2 linked regions of the Coturnix japonica genome follow. The protein of the gene in region 1 binds, or shares a complex with, the protein of each later gene. Links are inferred from orthologs where the notes say so. Each region holds a gene or a part of one and is shown on either strand. Other genes may lie near its edges.

The links. The genes of interacting proteins can lie anywhere in the genome.
Region 2: the proteins of CAPZA2 (region 1) and S100A1 are in contact, whole or in part, in an NMR structure (PDB 2KBM), measured with the Rattus norvegicus proteins. The link is inferred for Coturnix japonica from reciprocal best matches to the Homo sapiens genes CAPZA2 and S100A1. Residues at the interface, in NP_001009180.1 of Rattus norvegicus: Thr267, Lys268, Ile269, Asp270, Trp271, Asn272, Lys273, Ile274, Leu275, Ser276; in NP_001007637.1 of Rattus norvegicus: Ser44, Phe45, Leu46, Asp47, Lys50, Asp51, Ala54, Lys57, Ile58, Glu61, Leu78, Ala81, Leu82, Thr83, Ala85, Cys86.

What each region holds. Positions count from the first base shown.
Region 1 is NC_029516.1:22,329,829-22,336,160, forward strand, and holds the start of CAPZA2 (F-actin-capping protein subunit alpha-2), read right to left. Parts: upstream 4,093-6,332; 5' UTR 4,085-4,092; coding exon 3,965-4,084; intron 1-3,964. UniProt on the Homo sapiens protein: F-actin-capping proteins bind in a Ca(2+)-independent manner to the fast growing ends of actin filaments (barbed end) thereby blocking the exchange of subunits at these ends.
Region 2 is NC_029540.1:1,232,470-1,238,813, reverse strand, and holds S100A1 (protein S100-A1), read right to left. Parts: upstream 3,865-6,344; 5' UTR 3,745-3,864; intron 2,494-3,744; exon of another isoform or gene 2,353-2,493; intron 2,148-2,352; exon of another isoform or gene 2,132-2,147; 5' UTR 2,124-2,131; coding exon 1,983-2,123; intron 1,901-1,982; coding exon 1,757-1,900; 3' UTR 1,613-1,756; downstream 1-1,612. UniProt on the Homo sapiens protein: Small calcium binding protein that plays important roles in several biological processes such as Ca(2+) homeostasis, chondrocyte biology and cardiomyocyte regulation.

The sequences.
Region 1 (6,332 bases):
TAAACTTTTCATTTCTAAGCATTTACTAAAGAAATGAGTTTTCCTTAACCACTCTAAATTCCACTGCAGAGTTTTGCTGCCATATTCAGTAGCTTTCTAGCTGTTCACGCCTAGTTCAATAAGCTGTCAAGTTACCTAATGCACCAGGGAATATGTGGTAGCAAAGCAAGTTCACTTTCACAGATGGGACTATTTCCTCATCAGAAGTCTTGTTATCCCTCCAGCCAGTTGGCCAACTGCTCAACTCCACCTTACTCAATACGCCTCCCTGAACAAGTAGGAGTGCACTGAGGCATAACCTTACTGAAAGAGGCGGGGTTCCTTTCTGATACCTTTGACAATACATGGACTTTTATGCTCAGCACTGTAAGGAAAGCGAGCTGCTTTTGCATTAAAAAATACCACGTTATGTTCTCTAATTTCCTATCAATGCTCTCTTCTTTCTTCACTAAAGACATCTCTGTTTCCTCAGCCTGCCTCCACGGCTATTTAACTCCTGTGCTTTGTAGTGAGAAGGGTTTACATTGCAAAAGGAAAAAGGACAAAAAAAAAACCCTACAGCAAACACATCATGGTGAGTCAGCAAAAGGCACTGACTACAGAACATCACAGAATCACAGAATTATAGGGGTTGGAAGGGACCTCTAGAGATCTTCGAGTCCAACCCCCCTGCCAAAGCAGGCTCCCTACACCAGGTCACACAGGTAGGCGTCCAGCTGGGTCTTGAATATCTCCAGAGAAGGAGACTCCACCACCTCCCTGGGCAGCCTGTTCCAGTGCTCCATCACCCTCACCGTAAAGAAGTTCTTGCGCACATTCGTGCGGAATTTCCTATGCTGTAGTTTCATCCCATTACCCCTAGTCCTGTCCCCATGCACTACTGAAAAGAGACCAGCCTCACCACTATGGCTCCCACACCTCAGGTATTTATAAACATCCCTAGGATTCAAACAGTTGCAGCCCTGCTTTGTGTGTGCTGCTATTTATTAACAAGTATTTACATTAACAAATACATCTGCAATGAAGACAATACCTTCCGTTGATCACTGCTTATATTCATGTAAATAAAGTGCAATTCTTAGATGCACGCTAATAAGCTCATAGAAAAAAAACAAAACATTTTTATATTTGCTTATCAGTTTTTCATGGCCACAGGCAGAATGATTCGTACAGGAACTGAAACACAACTACACTGCTAAAAGTGGTTATTAAGCATAAAATCTACTACAAATATGTTGGATAAATAAATAGCTTTTGTATTCAAGACTTATTCAGAGGATAAATTACCTCCGAAGTGAAGGAAAGTGATGATTTTCCATTACTTCCTCCCTTAAAAGTTCTGTATTCCAATATTTCTACCTCTCACATCTCATTTTGATTTACAGACTGAAACATAAGCATAATATTTTCTTTTTTCCACCTAACTGAGATGTTCCTCATTTTCAGTGACCTACAGAACACCACAAACCCACTGTATCTCAAAGAAGCTGTCTGTAGTACCGGGCAGTCCCTGGTGACCCATGGGATGAAGCAGCTCCCCTTTGACGACAGGCTGAGAGAGCTGGGGCAGTTCAGCCTGGAGAAGAGAAGGCTCTGGGGAGACCTGAGAGCGGCCTTTCAGTGTCTGAAAAGGGACTATAAGAAAGAAAGAGACAGACTCTTTAGCAGGGTCTGCTGTGACAAAACAACAGGAAATGGTTTCAAGCTTAAAAAATATGAGATTTGGACTAGATATAAGAACAGTTTTTTTATAATGAGAGTGGTGAGGGACCACAACAGGCTGCCCAGAGAGGAGGTAGGTGCTGTCTCTGGAGACACTCAAGGCCAGGCTGGACGGGGCTCTGAGCAACCTGATCCAGCTGTATGTGTCCCTGTTCACTGCAGGAGAGTTGGACTAGATGGCCTTTAAAGGTCCTTTCCAACTCGAACGATCCTATGATACACCATCCTGCACATTAAAGTGATGTTTCCTTGCAGTTGCTCTTCTCCTTCCTTGGTTTTAGAGCTCCCTTACCTGAACTAAGCACTTTTTACTGCCCTTGCAGCACTTACAGTTCCTGCCCACACACAGAGGTAGCCACAAACCAAGTACAATTCATAACCTGTGCTATCACTTAATCCCTCACTATAGCTACATCTCCATCAAAATTTCCTATAGCATTAACATTGTTTATGTCAGTCTTTGATGCCATTTGTTTCGTATAACAGGAGAAAGTTACACAGAGAAGCATATATATACACATACATAACACTGACAAACTTTCAAAGTGGTTCAGACTCACGAAAACTAACCCACATGCCTCTTCTGTGACAAATAAAAACCTGGAGGTATCACAGGATCAGCACGGTCACTTATTTGCCTATCCATGAGCCTGCAGCATTATTCATCTCTGTTTTATTGCCAATAAACACGCAGCCAGGCTTGGAAAACTTCAATCGTGTAGAATGATCAGTGTTATAGAGGACAGACATGGGCAGAGGAATGAATTTAATCTGCAATGGAAAAATGCTGACTTTATTCAATTATACAAAGGCAGAAGAAGCCTCCAGAAAGTCTGCACCCATTTGGAGACAAAAAGAAATACTGTAATTAATGGACAAAAGGAAGTTCAGAACTTAACTTCATCGGTCACTTGAGTACAGGCAGTGCTTCTCAGCTCATAGAGAGCTAAGAAGAAAGTGTCACTGTATCTTACGTTATTTGACAGGACAAGAGGCAATAAGAACAAACTGAAACAGGAAGTTCTGTCTGGCACGAGGAATGAAGCATTTCTGAGCTCTGTGGGTGGCTGAGTGCTGGCACAGGCTGCTCCTCCTTTGGGATATTCAGAAGCAGCCTGGATGTGATTGTGGGTTCCCTGCTTGGGCCTGCGAACCTGAGCCATCCTCCAGCCCTGGGATCTTCACTTGCAGACTCAGCATGTCCAGGCATATACTCTGTCAAGGGCACAGTGGATTAAAGCTACTTGTATGTTGTAGAATGAATACAATTACAGACTGCCACATCTAACACACGTGAATGTGAACCAGATAGAGGACCAGTCTCAAAACCTGTGGCTAGGAACAGAAATTAGAGATCCACATCTTAGCCCACCAGCGCCTCTCCAGCTCTGAAACACAGCCCTGTCAATCTTGAAAAGTACAGAGAATCGACCTCATTGTAACCACCTAAGACATTCTGGACATCCTTCTTCTAACTTCAGAGAAGTCTGGAGCATTTATTTTTCTGATGTCTCCAACATTTAAATCATCCCAAAGCTTCCGCTGCCACAACAACCTGCTTTGTTTTTTAGTACAGAAAAGCATAAAACCGCTCTATGTGAAGACATGAGCCGAGCACACGGAAAACCACACCCCAGCTCTGGGCAGGCAGCTACCATGGAGCTGGGTCCGAGGGGAAGGCAGGGAGTGCTGCTAACGGAGGCATTGTAACACACGCTGCTTCTTGAGAGATGCCTTGTGAAAACCTGCTTGAAGCCGGATGAGTTCCCAGGGCCACAAGCAGCGATCACGCACACAGACCCTGGGGTCTGATCCCTGAGCTCAGCCTTCCCCCGCTGCTGCTAACAGGAAACGAAAAAGCCTTCCTCACCCCACACCCTTCCTCCTCTAGGGCACGCCGGCTCGGGGGCCAGGCCGAGGCACGGCCCCATCCCTGGGGAGAGCAGGAGGCCCGTGAAAGGGGAAGCGGAGATGGAGGAAGAGCCGGAGGAGCCTTTTCTCTCCCCGGCCGCCGCCGCCTCCAGCGGACACAGGATCCCGGCCCTACAAGGAGCGGCGGGAGCTGCCCCGGGCCGGCCCTGCCCCCTGCCCGCCCGCGGACCCTCCTCCGGCCCCCGACTGACAGGCCGAGCCGCAGGGGCGGCCCCAAACGGCGACGGTGCCGCGACCCGCCGACTCAGAGAACCGGGGAAGGGGGGGGTTCGGCGGCCGGGAGCAGCATCCCCACCCCGCCCGCCCCTACCTTCTCCTCATCCGAGAGCTGCTCCTCCAGGTCCGCCATCTTGCCGTCCGGCGCCCCGCAGCTCCGCCCTCGCGTGCAGGAAGGGCACCCCCGCCCCAAGGCTGAGCCGCGTCTGCGCATGCGCCATGCGGGGGCGGGCACCGGCTGAGGGAAGGGTGGGCGGTGTGTGCGTGTACCACACGGAGCGCGCGGGGATAGGGAGGAGGTGGTGGAGCTGGTGTGTGTTGTGAGGATGTGGAGTTCAGTGTCTGCTTATGGCAAAGACCGGGAGACCAGGGGGTGGGGGAAGAGCTGGCGCTGGCTGGGAGTGCTCCTCACCTCCTGTGGGACGCTGCTCAGGTCCCCTCATGGCGGGGCTGGCTGAGCTCTGGGCTCAGAGAGGTGGGAGCTGAAATGCTGTGGTGAAAAACGAAACCGAAGGCTGAGAGGAGTCAGATGATGTTTGTGAGATATCCTTCCTCTAACTTGGTGAAAACCAGAGGAAAAATGGGAAATGATGCATTAGGGAAACCAAGTTCTGCTGCTTGGGTTGTGTGAAATGCTGTGGTAAAGGCTGAATAAAACGACTGAGCACCATTTCATTAATAGGGGTGCCAGTTTCCTCGGTGGTACAATAGCACGTGCAGCTGAAATAACACGGAAATCCTCATTCTGCATAATAAAACATGACAACCCTTAAGTGAATCCACACATCACGTTATTTTATTGGGTACATCTTTCAGTTGGATTAACACTAGGAAACAAAATGACAATTTGGAGCTTCACACGCATCAAGATAGATCTTAGTAGATCATAATTAGTGGTATGATATAGTCACCTTCTAGCAAAAGATCTTGGTACGCTCTGAGGCTCATCCGTCTCTGTTGCAACAGCAGCCATATAAAATTGCTTAATACTGTCACATGCAGCACAACAAAATATTCCCAGTACCTGTAGCATTCTAGATGCCCTAGAGGGACTGTTGTATTTAAATAAAAGAAAGCAATATTGTACAAGTGGTTTTTGCAGGTCAAGCGAGCACTGGAAAATTACAATGCCCTGAAAATCGATATAGAAACAAAGGATGAAAATGAAAAAGTCAATGAATGTACAATTTGGGCAACTTGTCTGATTCAGAAAAGCTGAAGAGACGTTTTAAATATCTGTAGCCATGCTGGACAAAGGTAGTTTTGTTCCTGTTGGGAACAAAATAAACAACAAACAAACCTTGTATGTGATGAGGTCCTTGCTAGAGGCAAAGCAGTGAAGCGTAGAACGAGAAAGGTATGTCCTGACATAGTTTGGTTTGGGAGCATCTCATACTTGTTATTTGGAGTCAACAACTGCAGTTAATGGTCTGTAGCATGGAATGCATTGCGTAGCATTCAGTTTCATGCAACAGGAATTGATAATTTCTATCCAAGAGTCTTAAAATAAACCAGCTGGGGAAGTCTGTGTTGATTTCCAACAAGCCTTAGGATTTGCCACCTACTGGGGTATTGCCAAGGAAACAGCTTTACTTAAAATGTAAAAAGAGGATCACTCAAGGAGGTAGATCTGGGCATATAAACATGGCTGATTTTCTCCTAAGATGTGATATCTAGCTGCTGGTTTTACTGTGTTTAAGCAAGGTTTTTTTTTCTTAACATTTGCAGAATTTTACCATGGTGAGGGGAATGATTCAGGGGAGGACTGTTGAGTCATCACAGATATTAGTGGGAACCTTCTGTGCATTACACTGGCAGGTGCTTTACTGTGACCTTAGGACTTAATGGGAAGTGAATAATCAGGATAATGTGGAAATAAGTGCTGCTCTTGCCTTATGACTCAGTGTTTTGAAGTGGTTTTGTGTCTTTTCAGGAAGAATATGGATACTTCATGGGGAGTTTAAAGGAAGGAGAACTAAAAATATTCCTGAAGATGCAGAGCGAACTGCAGGATGGGAAGCTTAAGGATGCCAAGATTAAGAAGTGACTTAGAAAATATCTCCTCGGGGGGTGACTGCAGTATAAAGCAGTGATGCCTGAGTTAGTTTGGAATTTATCTGCATCTTATCTGAAGTTATATTTCCTCACTTGCTGTTTTAATTTGTACAAATTCAGTTTCCAACCGGTAGCTCTTATTATGCCATGAAGTTCATCTACATAGCTTTTTTATGTGCCACTGTCTCTACACATCGATCAAAGGTTAATTTGCACTGCAGTTACATGCAGTAAAGTGAAACATCCAATTGCTAACAAGCCAACCCAAGTTTAAGTGAATTTCTAATCCCACATTGGAGCTCACTCCGGGCCGCCTGGTCTGTCTGATGAGCAGTGTGTGGTTTACTGATGCAAGGAGAGAAGGGCAATTTAAAATAAAATAGAAAAGCAGCCATTGAGTCTATTTA
Region 2 (6,344 bases), on another chromosome or scaffold:
CTGTGCTCTGCAATGAGGCTTTAACATCACTGGATAAAAATAAACACATAAAGGTGTTCAGATCCATCGTTCTGGATGTGGCCAAGCAATGGGTGTGTAGTTTAGATGCAAAGCTTTGGGCACAGTGTGGGGGCTCTCAGATCACACAGGCCTGGATTGCTTTGTGATGATACTGACCCATTTCTCCATTATTACTATTAACATCAAACCTATTGCTTAGCAAACAGCCCAGAACGTCTCACCCTCACCATATATTAAACAAAGCGTAGCAGAAAACCCAACTAAAAGCCACCCACATCCCCATTTCTTTATTAAATACCACAATTCACCAGCACACCGAATCCAGGCCGGGCCAAACCGATTCCAAACACCTCAATGTTGTGGAATAGCATCCAAACGACGACCCCCCCCCTCAGGGCCTGAAGCGGCCTCCTCACAGCCCCCCCCCCATTAACAAAGGTGCCCCAGCCGCCCCTCAGAGCCCACCCCAGCCTCCCCCCCGGTCTCTCACCGAAGCAGACGGTCGCCAGGTCTCCTGTGGTGCTGCCTGTTGGCTGTTAGCGGCTGTGGGGCCGGGGCTCAGCTCCTCCGCCCGCTCCCACCGCACTGGAGCTCCCGAGACAAAATGGCGGCGCCGATCGCAGCTCCCTCCTTCCTCCCGCCTCCCAGAGCACAGCCGGCCAAAATGGCGGCGCGCAGGCGCAGTGCGAAGCGAGCGCTACTCTATCCGCTATTGGGCGGAGAGCCTGCGACGCGTACAAATCCTCCTCTGCTATTGGTCGCTCAGCACGAGGTGGGCGGGACTTTGGGTGATGTGGGCGGGGCTATGGATGCGGCCTAGTTGCGGGCCCAGCCCTGTGCGGGGTGCTAGGCCTCATGGCGGGGACTAGGCCCGTGCGGGTCACCAGGCCCAATTGGACCGGGACATCTACAAGGCCTCACTTGGCCTGTATCCACCTCCAAGGCCCGGTTGGGTTTTGTGGGTTTTATGTGTTAGGTGCAGGCCGCAGCCCGGCAGACGATGGCGCTGGCGGTCCCTATGCAGCCCGGTGCCATATTAGAACTGGTCCCTCCTCCCCCTCGTATCTCTATGGGGACGACGCCCCCCCACCCTGCACCCTACAGCCCACCCCCCCCATGCAGGCCGGGGTCACCCACCCTGGGTATATAGGCCCTATAGGTGACCCCAGGGTTACGTGAACATCTCCCCCCTGCACCCCATAGCCCACCCCCCCATGCAGGCTGGGGTCCCCCACCCTGGGGCTATAGGCCCTATGGGTGACCCCAAGGTGATGTGGACACCCCCCCCTGCCCCCCACAACCCACCCCCCCATGTAGGCTGGGATCACCCACCCTAGGGGTATAGGCCCTATAGGTGACCACAGCCCACCCCCCATGCAGGCCGGGGTCCCTCACCCTGGGTATATAGGCCCTATGGGTGACCCCAGGGTGATATGGACACCCCCCCCTTCCACCCCACAGCCCACCCCCCCATGCAGGCCAGGGTCCCTCACCCTGGGGATATAGGCCCTATGGGTGACCCCAGGGTGATGTGAACATCCCCCCCCCCCCCTTTATCCCCAGTATAAAGGAGCTGACAACACACTGCTGGTGGGGTCAATGCCTTTAATGCGGAGCTGGGACCCTTTGGGACCCTCAGGTGTATGGGGTGAGCAAGGGGTGAGCAAGGGGTGTGTAGGGGTGGGCTCTGCTTTTGGGGTTGCCATAATTGGGGGCTGTGGGGCTGGAGCTCGGCTCAGGCGTTCTCCCAGAAGAAGGTGTTACAGGCCACGGTGAGGGCGGCCACCAGAACCACGTACTCCTGGAAATCCACCTCCCCGTCGCCGTTCTCATCCAGGTCCTGCATGATCTTCTCCACAGCCCCCGTGTCCTTCTGGGTCTGGAGGGGGGGGACAAGGGGTGAGCCCCGGGGCTGGCAGCCTGCTGGGACCCCCCCTCATATCCCCCAGTTCAGCCCCTACCTCCAGGAAGCAGCCCAGCTCGCTCTGCAGCAGCTCCTTCAGCTCCTTCTTGCTCAGCTTGTACTTGTCCCCCTCTTTACCCGAGTAGTGATGGAAGACGTTAATGAGGGTCTCCATGGCCCCTTCAAGCTGCGATGCCATGACTCCAGCTGCGGGAGTCACCCGCTGTGTTACAGGGATCACAATTCTCCCCCTTACCCCATCCTTCAAGCACTGCCCCCTCCCAACCTGGCACCACGCAGAACGCCATCAGTGATGTTATGGGGTGCCCCCTCCCCCCTTTCTCATGGGGTACCCCCTTTCTTTGGACCCCCTTGATGGTGTCAAACCATGGTGGGTACCCGTGGTCCATCCGCCGCCCCGCGCTCACCTGAGCTCCCCGCTGCGCCAAGTGCTGGGCTGGGCTGCCCAGGGATGTTAAATAAGCTCCAGGCCCCCTCCCTCCGGGAGGATCCGATACCGGGGCTGGACAGTCGGGCTGGCACCGCTGGGACGCCCCGCTCTGCCTTCACTAGGGTTGGGATATAGGGACGCCCCGCTGGCCCCACTGCTCACCCCACACCTGGAGGAGCACTACCAGCCCTGCTGGTGCTTTTATGGGGCACTTTGGGGTGCTCTGTGTCTCGCCCTTAACCTCACACATCCCTTTTTGCAGCCCTATGGGATGAGCAGCAATGGGATGTTGGGGATGGGGTGAGCAATGGGGCCAGCCCTGGGTCAGACCGTGACCCTGAGTGTGACCCATTGGGCATCCCCCATCTGTCAGCGCTGCGGTGTGGGATGGATCCGGCCCCATCCCTCCTCGGTGGCTGATGTGTGCAGGTATCCGGTGTCCTCAGAGCCATGGGGGGGGGGGGGGGGAGAACTGATGGGGGCTATCAGGTGACGCAGCGTGGGCCCCCCGCTCCCTGTGCACAGAAAGGCCCTTGTCCCATTAAAAAAGCCCCACAATCCCTGCCTGTAGGTTGCCTCAGCAACGGGTACGGCCAAAGAAACCAGATTCCAAACCGTGCTGATAATCCTGGCTCTCATTACGGCCCAGCATCCGCGCCGCCTGGCTTTGCCTGTTGCATCTCCCCACCCCTGGGTGCTCCCCCCCTCTTCCCATAGCAATGCTGAGCCCCCAAACTGGGGCATCCCCAATATAGGGGGCTGCTGGGTGCCGGATTGTGGTGTTTTCACAAGAGTTGGGTGGTGCCGGACTCTTTATCCCAGATTCCAACCTTAATTTGGGGCTAATTATATCCTGCTCCCTCCGTTTCCACTTTCCGTGCTTCCTGTGTCTGTGGTTGAGAAATGTTGTAGCACTGGGACCCCCACAACATCCCCCCCCCCCACAACTGTACCACCATGACCCCATGGGGGTCCTGAGCCTGCCCAGATGAAGAGGGGAGGATTTGGGGTGAATTATGGGATTCTGGGGGCTCTACTGCTGTCCTGCACCTGGAACAGCTGGGGTGGCTACAGAGGGGATCTGGATGAAGGTGAAGAACCCAGATGGAATTGGGTGGATGCAGAGGTCTGGATGGAGAGGGTGGTCCTGGGGGGAAGCAAAGGGACTGTGTCACTTCAGGACACGATCCCTTTATCCATCAGGATCCGGCAGCCAACATGGGGCAGGAAGAGAACCCAGGGCAGGAACAGAACCAAGGGCAGGAACAGAACCCAGGGCAGGAACAGAACCAAGGGCAGAAACAGAACCCAGGGCACTGGGGGAAGGCTGTGCAGCCCAATGTGGGGAGCAGACCCCGGTGTCACTCACGTGGCAGTGTCGGTGTGGGGGGGTCTTTGACCGTGGCACCCCCGTCCCCGTCTCAGAGGTGGACAGAATGCGGCCGCCCCTTCCGGGACTGCGTGGCCCTGGCACTGCATTGCCTGCACAGCTGCTGCAGGGCTGCCCTGGGTGTAAAAATAAACCCCCCTGATCCCTGCAGCCCTTGGCACGGCTGCTTGATGGGAGCCAGGTGGTGGCTGTACAGCTCCCATTACTGAGCTCTGGGTGCTCTCAGTTGGGCTCTGCCCCACTTTTATCGCACCCCAAACCTTCCTGAGAGCAGGGAATGCTCGGGTGTTCCCTGAGTGATGGGACGGGTCGGAACCATGAACCCAAAATCACATTGTTAGGGGGGGTCTACCCAAGGAACGGGGACCGCAGCGGTGCTATCTGGCATGTCCACACTGGCAGCTCCCCAGAACAGCTCTTACCAAACTGGGATCAGCGAGGGACGTGCCAGGAGGTTTACACACAACCTGGAACAGGTTTCAGCCTCTGCGACTCCCGTGCTCCACTTTGACCCAGCTAAACCAGTTGCTCCAGTTGCTGGTGCCGGGGTTGGGCTTGATCTTGTCTCTCAGATCCATGGCCGGAGTTTGGAAGAGGTTTTTCCATCCCTGGAGTCTGGGAGAGGGGAAGCTGCTGGGTGTGAGCTGTGCTGAGGTTGGGGATGTGGTGGTGGCACGTGGGCTGGTGGTCTTATCCCATGACCTCAATGGATGGGGTGGGGGACGAGTCCTCACTCACGGCGTGGGCTGGCATAGGATGGTGTCCGTGGTGGCCACAGCCCCCGGTGACCATCTATGATGGGGTAGAACAGGTTGGGACAGCACCAGGATATGGTGGTGGGCACTGATCCTATATCTGACGCCAAGCTTTCACCCCAGTACTTGCAGTCCCTGTGATGCTGCTCACTTGTCCTGATAGCACCGGGCACCCCGAGGCCACCACTCCCCACACGTCCCCACCTGGGGCCATGCAGCGTCCTCTCCCTCCTCACCCCATCCTGGCACCCCAAATTCCAGGGGTGAGGAGTCACGGCCTGCCTGGCTTTGGGGTGCTGACTCACCCCCCAACCTGTCCCCGTCCCTTCCGAACCTGACTCACCCGAGTGGTTTCCCATCTCAGTGCCCTGACGTGGGGCTCAGCGGAAGGGCTGTCCCCGTCCCCCCGTCACCCCGGGATGGGGACGGACCGGATGGAGCCCAGGAAGGCAATTCCTGCCCCGTGAGCTGGTGTGACGGGTGTGCGGGTGGGGACGGGCTGCCCCATGCTGGAGTCACCCTGTCCCTATAGATGGGTGGAAAGAGTGCGTCAGGGATGGTGACACTGCGCCGTGCCCTGCTCCAGGTCCCCAAAATGGGTGACTATGGGGTCCCCAAGGGATACCCCTATATCCATACATAGCAGTGGTGGGGCTGCTCGCCCTGTCCTTGCTCCTTGTCACACTCGGTGTCAACCAGCCTTGGGGACACCCCAAAAGCCTTTACCCTAATAGGGACTAAGGTCAGCAGTTATGGGGCCACTTCTGGGGAGGGTCCCTGTGTCCCCTCTATCCCATGCCACCAATGCTGTGCCATAGGGACAGCTTGGAGTGCCATGGGAATGGCTGTGCCATAGCAGAGCTGTGCTGGGGCTGCCGTACACCACGATTACAGAGGAACGCTCGGGCAGTTCCAACCTCCTAATTAATTTGGATTAATTAATTTTCACAAAGCCCACTATTAATAGGGGTGATGTCAGCCGGCGGTGAGTCACAACTCTCACTCGGAGAAGGGTGATCCCAGCCCCAGGTCTGCAGCCAGGATGACCTGCGGTGTCATGGGATGAAGGGGACAAAGGGGACAGTGTTCTCACCCCATATGTGTCCCTATTCCCACCCCATATGTGTCCCTATTCCCATAGGAGCAAAGCAGAGCCCAGGAAGCACCGGTGGGGGGCTGGGGGGGTGGGCATACCCTGCACCTAACAGTGATCTGGGTGGTTCAATGCAGTTTGTGCACCCTGGGACCCCTATGGTTCACCCCATAGCCCATTCAATGCAGTGAGTGCGCCCTGGGACCCCTATGCGTTTCATCCATAGCCCATTCAATGCAGTGAGTGCGCCCTGGGACCCCTATGGTTCACCCATAGCCATTCAATGCAGTGAGTGGCACCCTGGGACCCCTATGGTTCATCCCATAACCTATTCATGCAGTGAGTGCACCCTGGGACCCTATGGTTCACCCATAAGCCCATTCAATGCAGTGAGTGCGCCCTGGGACCCCTATGTTCAACCCCATAGCCCATTCAATGCAGTGAGTGCGCCCTGGGACCCCTATGGTTCATCCCATATCCCATCCCATGCAGTGAGTGCACCCTGAGACCCCTATGGTTCATCCCATAGCCCATTCAATGCAGTGAGTGCGCCCTGGGACCCCTATGGTTCATCCCATAGCCCATTCAATGCAGTGAGTGCACCCTGGGACCCCTATGGTTCACCCCATAGCCCATCCCATGCACGGTGCTGTCTGTGCATGGAGTTCTCAGGCTGCTGCCGTATGGGGAGGGGACGGGAAGCAGCTGCCGGGCGGTGACTGCAACGGGAA